3 linked regions of the Callithrix jacchus genome follow. The protein of the gene in region 1 binds, or shares a complex with, the protein of each later gene. Links are inferred from orthologs where the notes say so. Each region holds a gene or a part of one and is shown on either strand. Other genes may lie near its edges. The genes, in order: POLD2, REV3L and POLD3.

Region 1 (3,264 bases):
GTCGTCTCTCACGGAGCCAAACACGGCCAGGACAGTCCCTGGGGAGCAGTGGCATCAGGCCTGAGTAGGGAGCCCCAGGTGCTACCAGTCCTTCCAGTCACCACAATGGGCAAAACCAGTCAGTCCTCCATAGCCACACTGGTGAATTCTCACCTAGGACTCCGGGATGCATGCCTGCTTCCTGGGGTCACTGCCTTTGGATGGAGGCGGGGAGACCCATCTCCCAGCCAGATCACATCCACCCTGATGGCCCCCGACTGCCTGGAGCCTCACCTACCTCCTCAAGAACACATGTGTGCCCAGGCCACATGCCCCCAATGCCCCCCAGCTCCCCACTCACATCATCCCTAACACATCTCTGCTGGGCTCTTCACCCGCATCACCCTCATCCCCTCATTGGGCTACCTACCTGTAACCAACTTTGACACATCAATAGTGCCTTTTAGTTTGATACGCTGCAGTTCATCTTCCAAAACCAGCTCGTCATCTGGGTGGATGTATTTGCTCCGAGAAGGCTGGGGTAGCAGGTTGTGCTGGAGTGCGGAAACAAGAGGTAGTCTTGGGGCTAGAGCCCAGCAAGCCTCTGGTGTTGGTGAGCCAGCACTGCAGCCCCTACCCCTCTGGAGCCCATTACCTCTGAACCTGCTTCCCCACCCCCCTATGCCCTGGAAGGTGTTCTAGGGGAAGGCTGGGTCCGCCTGGCTGCTCCTCTGTGTGGCACCCCGCCTCACCTCCTCGCTGATCTCCCGCAGGATGGAGGGCTGCAGCGGCATGGCTTTGAACAGAGTGCCCACCACACAGCACTTCTCCCCAGGCTGCAGCTCACATAGCTTCTTCACTCCCACTCCACTGCCTGGGACATGACGGGCACAGACTTAGAGATGGAGTGGCCCCCACCCCCTGACAGAGGCCACGGAGGCCCTGACCAGCCCTCCATGAGTGGCCAGTAACAGGGTCCTGGCCGTTGCCAGAAGGAGAGAGCATCAAGTGCAAGGACCCCCTGGACTTCAGGATGACAGTAAAAGGTGAGTTAGCCACAGGGGACCAGGGACTCTGGGTGTGGTTGGATGCCAAGTGTCCCTTATGAGGCACAGAGAGACAGACACACAGACAAGACGGAGTGTGAAGACAAGGCCAGAAACACCAGGGCGACCTCCAGACACCGGAGGAGGCCAGGAAGGATCCTCCCCTCAGGCCTTCAGAAGGAGCCAATCCTGCTGACATCTGGATTTCAACTTCTGGCCTCCAGCACTGCCAGAGGGTAAATGTCCGTTGTTTTAAGTCAGTTTGTGGTGCTATGTTACAGTGGCCACAAGAAACTAATACAAAGTATTGCTTCACTTAAATTACAACACTGATTTTTTTTTTTTTTTTTGAGACGGAGTTTCGCTCTTGTTACCCAGGCTGGAGTGCAATGGCACGATCTCGGCTCACCGCAACCTCCGCCTCCTGGGTTCAGGCAATTCTCCTGCCTCATCCTCCCGAGTGGCTGGGATTACAGGCATGCGCCACCGTGCCCAGCTAATTTTTTTTGAATTTTTAGTAGAGACGGGGTTTCACTATGTTGACCAGGATGGTCTCGATCTCTTGACCTCGTGATCCACCCGCCTCGGCCTCCCAAAGTGCTGGGATTACAGGCGTGAGTCACCGTGCCCGGCCTACAACACTGATTCTTAAAAAGAAGGATGCCAAGTCTCAACACAGCCCTGCCCTACAAATAACTGCCATTTTCTTTAAGACTTTAGATTTTTCCACCCCGCCCTCACCCCCACCAAATGCTTCATCCCCCTTAGAGCAGAGATACTCAAAATGTAGACCTCAGATCCCCTCTACCCATTCCATTCCCTGTGGAGTTAGGTGGCCTTGTTTGCCTGGGGTACCTGGGCACTATCTTCCCCAGCCCCTTCCCAGGATCCTGGGGAAGAGCAGTACACATGGGAGGGGCTTGGCACTCTCAAGGAGAAAGGTATGGAGAGTCAGTGCGGGTGGGAGGGAGGAAAACAGGTCCCTGCAAAGCACACATCGAGGCCTGGAGGAAACACTGCAATGCAGCAGACGCCACATCCTCACCTAGCCCACTCATCTCCCCCAAGTGGCCTAAGCACTGTACATGTAACTCAGCCAACCCTGAAAACATGCCAGGAGTAGATATTATCACCCACTGATGCACAGAGAGGTTAAGCAATGTGTCCACGGGCACACAACTGGGATCCAAGAGTGCGCCCCTGAGTACTGGGCAGAATGATCCCTGCAACCGACAGCAGGACACGCTTGCACCCAGGCAGTGTGCTGGCACTGAGATCAAAACTGCACACAAAGGCCAACACTTGCCCCACCGAGCCCACTGGGTCTAGGCGGGAGAGCGACAATAGGCCATAAGCAAGTAACTCGCCATGGTGACAAGTGCTGTGAACAAACGGTGAGCTGAGGTAGAAAACGGAGACCCTGGTCGGGCACAGTGGCTACAGGTGGCCTCTCAAAGAACATGACGCTTCAGCTGACAGTGGGGCTGAGATGGGGCCACAGGAAGGCGAGGAAGAGTGTGCTAAGTGAAGGGAAAAGCCTACAGTAGGAAGGGCTGGGCAGGTTCAGGGACCAGGTCAGTGGAAAGACCAATTTGGAGAGATAAGCTGAGCTTCAGTGAGGTAGCGCAGACCACACGGAGAAGCCACGTGGAGGTGTTCAGGGTGATGGCCAGCATCGACCGCCAGGCCTGGGAGTGAGCACTACCACTGCCCCGCCGCTATCAACACATTCATCATGGCAACTGTTTGGTTTCCTGGCCAGTGTGTGGGCACAGTGAAATCACTGTCGTCCACCACTGTGGAGCTATGTTGGCAGCTCCAAGGACTGGAAGAGAAATGTGCTACCAGAAAGAATCAGGAAGGTGGCACTGACATTGCAGCGAGTGGTACGTGAGCTCTAAAAGGCGCCAAAGAAGGTGTCCTGATGGCTGAAAGTGAAGAGAAGCTACCGGAGCCGCAGGAGGGAGCCCCTGGTTCTGTGGGAGAGAGAGGTGAATAGCACTTTTGTCTCAGATAAAACAGAAAGCATCCTGATATGGTTTGGCTCTGTGTCCCCACCCACATCTCATCTGGAATTGGAATCCACATGGTGTTGATGGAGGGACCTGGTGGGAGGTGAGTGATTGTCAGGGTGGATTTCCCCCATGCTGTTCTTGTGATGATGAGTTCTCATGCGATCTGATGTTTTAAAAATGTCTGGCAGGTCCCCTCACTGTCTTTCCTGCTATCATTTAAACAT
Region 2 (3,655 bases), on another chromosome or scaffold:
CTAATGTTCCATCTCCAAAGTGACAGTCTATAAAACCATCTGTGGGTGTTTTATTTTCAAAACCTCCACGAGTTGTTTTAGTTAAATCACTGGCCAATGCATTATCCTTCTCAGGATTACTATTACAAAGATTATTTTGTACACAATTATCTTTTGCGGATCCACTCTCACTACTTTTGGTAGAAGTCTCCTGATGACCTGCAAGTTTCTTTTTATTCAATTTTAACCGGGATGGTTTATTGCCAGGTTGTAATTTATATGTGACAGGAGATAGTTTCTGTGGTCTAGTAAGACAGTTAGAAAGAACAACACTGGGAAAAAACATATAGTGTGCTGCTTGCTGGCTGAGGCTTGGCTTTTCTGTTTTATGTTCTTGAAATTCTTCGTATCTAATTTTAAGTTTATTTAGTCCACTTTCGTCAGTGGTGCTATTAAGAGAATGCACCATAGTTCTATTCTCCCCTGAGCATGACAGCAATTCACAATTTTCAGTAAATGATGAAGAGAATAAACTACTCAGAGCTGTGCTGTTTCCTTTTTCATTTCCTTCAGAGGATAATTTATTTTTTGAATGATTTAAGTCAGAAAAGTTGAAAGAATTTTTGCCCAATGTATTCTCGTTAGGGTGACGTTGCATATGTATAAAAGGGGAATCCTTTTCGATTTTTCTAATATTTGTATATTTTCTACTTGGTACTTGTCTTGTAACAGATGGAATATCTTCTTCATAATCAAAAATACTACTTTCACATGAAGATACCGGGAGGATGTCTTTCTTACTATTCTCTTTATGAGAATTTTCTGAATGAACACCACTGCTTAAAGATCCAGGATATTTCAAAGAGTAAGTGCTTTCATTTGTAAAAGAAGTGACTGAATTATCTAGACCTTTTTCTATATTTTTGTTTGTCTGTGAAAGGTCTTCAATTAAATCTTCCTTGTTCAAAACATGGGAAGAAAGGGCACTTGTGTGTTTACACTGAAAGGTAATCTTAGCAGAAGATGAGGGTTCTAATGTAGCAGCATCTTTGTGAAAGATGGAGGGTTTGACGGATAGCTTGCTTGTTGCAATTACAGAAGAGTGGGTTCTAGAATTTTCATTGTTCAATGGATTGTCTGAAATGAGGAGGAAAGAATAATTCATTTCACTTTACTCTTTTAATTTTTAAGACATTTTCCCACATCAAGATATTGATACTATCACTATGAAAAAAATTACATAAAATTAAGTTTGTATGTTTAAAATGATTATCTTAACAAAAAAGTAATCCTTATCATTAATAACTCAATCTAAATATAGTTAGTTACAATTATTAGTCATCATTTTAAACACATATTCCATTGATCAGAAATAGATTATATTACTATTCAGCGCCTTTGGAGAATAAGGGAAAAATACTGTCACTTTAAAAATGTTCATAAAATAATATGCTTTACATTATCACTTCAAATAAACTGAGCATACATTTTAGTTTCTTATTCTACTTACACAAGAACATTACAGTTTACAAAGCTTGAAATCAGTAATCAACAAATGTTATATCCTTCTAGAAATGAGAAAGAAATCATATATCTACATTCTTTCAAAAGAAAAAGTTGTGAAAAACAAAACATCACTTTAGCCTTACTTAGCCAACTATATAGAAAATATAATTACAGTTTCAAAATTGTATTTATTTATTTTTGGAGACAGGGTCTTGCTCTGTTGCCCAGGCTGGAATGTCATGGAGCAATCACAGCTCACAGCAGCCTCAAACTCTTGGGCTCAAGTTATCCTCCCACCTCAGCCTCCTGAGTAGCCGGGACTACAGTCATACACCACTACACTGAGCTAATTTTTTTTTTTTTAGTTTTTTAGAGACAGTCTCCCACTATGTTGCTGAGGCTGGTCTCAAACTCCTGAATCCAAGTGATCCTCCCACCTTGGCCTCCCAGAGCTCTGGGATTATAGGTGTGAATCAGGACACCTGACCTCAAAATCAAATATATCTTAGATCGTAAATAGCCAATTTCTCACAGACTTTTTTACTTACCACTATTTTCATCTGCAGTTCCATCTAACTGAGGTATAGAAAGATTGGCTAGAAGCAAACTGTTATCACTCCACTCCATTTCTTCTTCTGAAGATGAGTCATCATCTTCAGTTGAACTTCTGTGGTTACTTCTGCACAGTGATCTGGAGAATATTAAAATTCACTGGTGAGTATGATCATTAGAAAAGGCCATCTCAGATGTAAATAATGTGTCTAAGTTAACTCTATAATAATGTATCTAAGTTAACTCTATAATGTATCCAAGTTACTCTATAGTAAAACAATAAAATCTGAAAATTCTAACTTCTAGAAAAGCATATTTAGTTTGCTTTGTTAACATGTCTTACTATAGTAACTTAGAAAGAGTTATTGTAAATAAACTTTATAACCCTTTTCACAAAGGCTAAAATACACCACAATTCCTGCATTCTGAATTGGAATAAACAAGAACAGAGATGAGTGAAGGGGCACTGAGGTCAGGGCTGAAGAGAAAATACTGAAGATGAGAGAGGGAAGTAGTAAAGGTGTTCAGTCAAGCTGACTATAACTACAAAGTAGGGTTACTGAGAAATTCAGATGGACTGTAAAGTCCAGTCTCTTTAAGTTTTGTCTCATATTGATATTAATTAACTTGATGCTTTCCACTTTAACTGAATTGGCAAACATTTTTTTCTATCCATATCGGTTTTTCTGTCTCTAATCTCAAAAATTGGAAATTACTATTTTATTATATTTATTATACTGTAACTGTTTTTCCATTAAGCCTTTCCAAATCACAATTTGTCATAAAAATCACTCCCTTCAGAGCTGAAAGAGACATCAGAGGTCTAGTCCAACTTTCTACCCAATGCAAAACACAATTTTTAACCAACCTGAGACACTTCTGTTTTCACATAATCTATATAAGGGGATTGCTGTCTCACAGGGCAATCTTTCCATTGTTAATGGCTTTAATTGTTAATAGCTGTCTTCTTGTAATACACAAAATCTTTCAACTTCCATACATGATTCTATTTTGTTCTCTCTAGCTATACAGAGCAGGTTGATGCCATTTTCCTCATGATAATCTTTAAAATATGTAAAGGCATTTCTCATTTATCTTGTAATTCTGATTAAACATTCTCCATTCAGAAGTTCTTCAAAAGTGACAGTGCTCACTAGATCCTTCTAGTTTTCTTCCCCACTATTCTTAAAATATGGTACTCAGCACAGAATATAATATCCAATATACAGAGTAGAATTAACTAGGTCCTTTTCTAGACACTGTGCTTCTAGTATTCAATGACTCTCTAATATATGCGTACAAAATGTTTAGGTTTAGTTTTTACCAAATTGGTTCAGTCAATGAGCATACAAGCATAAATTTAATCACAGGATCAACTATGCCCATTATTACAGCAGCGACGAGGTTAGAGGAAAGAATTTAACATCATATCTGGAGATTTCTATAGCTGATGTATTAAGAAGAAAAATTAAAACATTTGCCATTTACATGTAGACACTGAATTTATGGATTAACCTCTTTCATCTTTCAGTGATGTTTTGGGTTGAAAATTTAGTCCAAAAAAGTTCTAATCTAGCCTACAGAAGTTTAAAGGAGAGGCATACTTAGTCTTTCAGGC
Region 3 (3,655 bases), on another chromosome or scaffold:
ATAGAGTTTTCTGATGAAGACCATAATAAATCAGTGGAAGATTTTGGGAGCTTTTGACTCTAGCTTTGGGGCTGCCCAGTCTAAAGTTACTTCTGAGATGATGTATCAGGGATTTTTTTTTTCCTTGAGCCAGGTGTTCTAGCAGTTAATCTTGAAGTTGTGCCTAGTTGATCTCTAAGATAATGACTATAATCATATAGTTTAGAAATCTCTAGTTGAAGGTGATACACTAAAGAAGGGAGAGAAGCCAGAAGCCTTACTTTCATTCACTTAGTCATTCTTTTAACATGTTGTTCCTAACACTTTTCTATGTGCCAGGTCTTGAGCTGGGCGCCTGAAATATAAAAGATAAATAAGACTTCAAGGAGGTCTTACCTATGTTCAATAAGCAAGACTGGGAAAAAGAAAATATTTTTCTTTGTTAGAAAAAGCTGGGGAACTTTGCTTTAAGTATAATCCTTTGGGAAGGCTAAATCAATTACCCATTCACAATGTGGAATGTTACATTATGGATTTGTGTGAAAGGGCACTTCTGTAACAATTAGACAAGAGATGTATGTTTCCTTTAATATGCCACGCAAGCTGTTCCACCAACTTTCTTCTCTTGGCCTTGGGCATACTTACTTGTCTGGTGCCGTTAGTATTATTAGAAATTATTAACAAATTGCTGTGAAGGACTATAGGTTATAGGAGCCAGTGGCTCTGCTCCCAGCTTCTCCCATGTTTTAAAGCATTATTTATTTATTTTGAGACAGGGTTTACTCTGTCCCCTAGGCTGGAGTTGAGTGGTGAGCTCATGGCTCACTGCAGCCTTGACCTCCTGGATTTAGGTGATCCTCCTACCTCAGCCTCCCGAGTAGTCGAGGCTATAGGCATACGCCACCACACCCAGCTAATTTTTGTATTTTTTGTGGAGGCAAAGTTTCACCATGTTACCCAGGCCGGTCTTAAATTCCTGGGCTTAAGTGATCTGTCCACCTCAGGTTCCCATACTGCTGGGATTACAAGCGTGACCCAATGCACCTAATCCTACAGCATGATTTACTCTGGCCAAGAGAGTTGCCAGGAAATTGGTTAATATTTAAAGCTTAGTTTTGATTCAGTCAATATTTATTGCAAATCTAGCCCTACTAGAGGAAGGCCTTTAAAAACAAGGGCTATTTCATTTCCCAAGGATAATAAAATTACTAAATCTTTTATAATTGTTGGTTGCATTCTTACTCTTTTGATTAGGATACTTTTTTCAAAAAAGCAAGAATATTCAATTTGTTATGGTAGAAGATGCCTAATTCCAACCCTATCAATTACTAACTAGATGTATGACCTCGTACAAGTGACTCACTTCTCTCCAATATTTGTTTCTTCAGGTAATACAGAGTTTTGTACAACATTTTTCTAAAAGTGATTTTAAACAATATTAGAGTTAAGTATTGTGTGGCAGAAGCAAGAGTTTGAAAATAAGGTTTTATATTGACATTAGTTTTTTTTTTTCTTTTTTCTTTTTTTTGTTGAACCACCCAAGAATTGCATATACTAACATTAACTTAATGCAACATTCTTGTCCCCAGATTTAGTGCAATACAATGTGCATCTGCAGTCCCTAGATCTCCTGCTGAATCCTCTTCATCTTCCAAAAAGTTTGAGCAGTCACATCTTAACATATCAAGTGAGACACAAGCCAACAATGAGCCGACCACCAATGGTCATGGCCCCACTCTGTCCAAGCAGGTTTCCCAGCAGCCCAAAGGAATTATGGGACTGTTTGCCTCCAAAGTTGGTGCTAAAACCCAAGAAATCAACAAGGAAGCGAAAACAGAGGCAAAAGAAGTAACAAATGTAAGTCTTCTCTGAAGATACCCCTTCATTGCAGCTCAGAGTGGGTAACTAGAAAAGCATTAATAGTTCCAGTGTTAGTTTATTTATATAAGGTTCTGATATTCAGTTCTGATTTTTCTACTTTAGTTTGAACCCTTTAATACTTGATACTGTTATCTAAAAGAGTTCTTTTGCTTTTGATATTATTCTCACCAAGCCTTAGATTTCCTTTGTAAAATGGTAATGTCTACCTTGTGCACATCACAAGATTGTTGTGAGACCCAAATGAAAAAAATGCATGTGAAAATACCTTGAGAATTGTTATGTTCAAAAAAATGTTTGTTTGCAATATATCATTCTGAGGAACATCTTATATTTCAAGCTTTGCAATATATACCTTCCTTCCTAGACTATTTCCCATTCTTATTCTACTTTATGCATTTTTTTGTTTTGTTTTGTTTTTTTGCTTCATTTGCTCCCCTTAACTTTTTATTGTTCAGTCATCTGAACTAACTTAAGGGCATTGACTTAAGAAAAGTATCATTAAGATACTATTTTTTAAATCCAGAAGAGTGTAATTATTGTTACTATTATCACTGTCATTTTCAAGCTTCTGCCTTGGGAAGAGAAAGGGATGGAGGAAAACACTAAAGTTTATTGAATTTCAACTGTGTGCCAATAGTTGGTCTTTGTTTAAATCCTCTTATCAGTTCTGTGAGGGAGATGTTAACTATTTCCCTTTGCATGTGGTAAAACTGAAACCTAGATTTAAGTAATTTACCTGGAGCCCATATTGCTGTGAAATGGTGGAACCAGGAATTCAGATCTACTTCTGATGACTAAAAATGTAATGTTTTAGGTTTTTCCCCCTTTGTGTACATACTGCCTCTGATCTGTCTGTCAAAACAAATAGTTTTAAAATGTGCTCAAGAAAAGTTTAGTTAGGATCTGTAAGAAACTAAGCTTTAGAGATTAACACCAGTTACTATCTGGTCTCAATTACTGTTTTAGATTTGTTCTTTTATCTAATGGCTACACATTTTGCTATGATTATATAGAGACTATACCTTCACAACATGTGCTATGCTATTGAAGAGATTGTTTGAGACTGCTACTTCATGAACAGCCTAAATGCTAGCAAAAAATTATATGTGTTTTCTATGCTTGTAGGCATCTTCAGCAGGCAACAAGGCACCAGGAAAAGGGAATGTGATGAGCAACTTTTTTGGAAAAGCTGCTATGAGTAAGCATGTTCTTACCTTACTTTGACTAATGAGTGAATGTTAATATAATAACATATTATATCTGAAGTGAAAGCCACTTTGTCTAGTTTTTGCCTATCCAGGAGACTACCTCCATCTAATATAAATTTGCAGTGTACTGCCCAATATATCGATGAAAGTAACTCAGCTGGAACTTTATGGATGAGTTAGGCTCAGTTAAGATCACTTTGAGAGCAGTTTATTATTTCTGGTTTAATTTCCTGCCTTGAAAAGAGAATGAAATGTTTGCTTCATAGGGCCCTTGCAAATGGGTGATTAAAATAAAAGGAAGGCTGCCTGACTAAGCAGTAAAGTGTTGAGGTTAATAACATGGATGCTAGAGTCAGTTTGCCTAGTGTGACCATTATTTCTCCTGTCTCTTAAGAGGCCACAAAAGTAAATATTTTGCCTTTCTTCAAATTTTTTTTGCAGATTACTTCCAGTGTGAATTAGAAGGGCTCAAGTAATAATGGATATTTTAAAATCTTTTTTGAGAAAGCAAAAATCTTCTTGATTTTTAAAAAGATGTTTAAATAAGAATTCTTTCATATGGAAAGAACCAGTAGTCACATATTTTC

What was found.
Region 2: POLD2 (region 1) and REV3L share a complex: the UniProt entries of both Homo sapiens proteins name them as parts of the tetrameric Pol-zeta complex. The link is inferred for Callithrix jacchus from reciprocal best matches to the Homo sapiens genes POLD2 and REV3L.
Region 3: POLD2 (region 1) and POLD3 share a complex: the UniProt entries of both Homo sapiens proteins name them as parts of the both the DNA polymerase delta and DNA polymerase zeta complex. The link is inferred for Callithrix jacchus from reciprocal best matches to the Homo sapiens genes POLD2 and POLD3.

The regions. Positions count from the first base shown.
Region 1 is NC_133512.1:12,208,233-12,211,496, forward strand, and holds part of POLD2 (DNA polymerase delta subunit 2), read right to left. Parts: intron 854-3,264; coding exon 732-853; intron 534-731; coding exon 410-533; intron 39-409; coding exon 1-38. UniProt on the Homo sapiens protein: Accessory component of both the DNA polymerase delta complex and the DNA polymerase zeta complex.
Region 2 is NC_133505.1:117,613,756-117,617,410, forward strand, and holds part of REV3L (DNA polymerase zeta catalytic subunit), read right to left. Parts: intron 2,177-3,655; coding exon 2,034-2,176; intron 1,117-2,033; coding exon 1-1,116. UniProt on the Homo sapiens protein: Catalytic subunit of the DNA polymerase zeta complex, an error-prone polymerase specialized in translesion DNA synthesis (TLS). Lacks an intrinsic 3'-5' exonuclease activity and thus has no proofreading function.
Region 3 is NC_133511.1:66,339,470-66,343,124, reverse strand, and holds part of POLD3 (DNA polymerase delta subunit 3), read left to right. Parts: intron 1-1,568; coding exon 1,569-1,836; intron 1,837-2,985; coding exon 2,986-3,058; intron 3,059-3,655. UniProt on the Homo sapiens protein: Accessory component of both the DNA polymerase delta complex and the DNA polymerase zeta complex.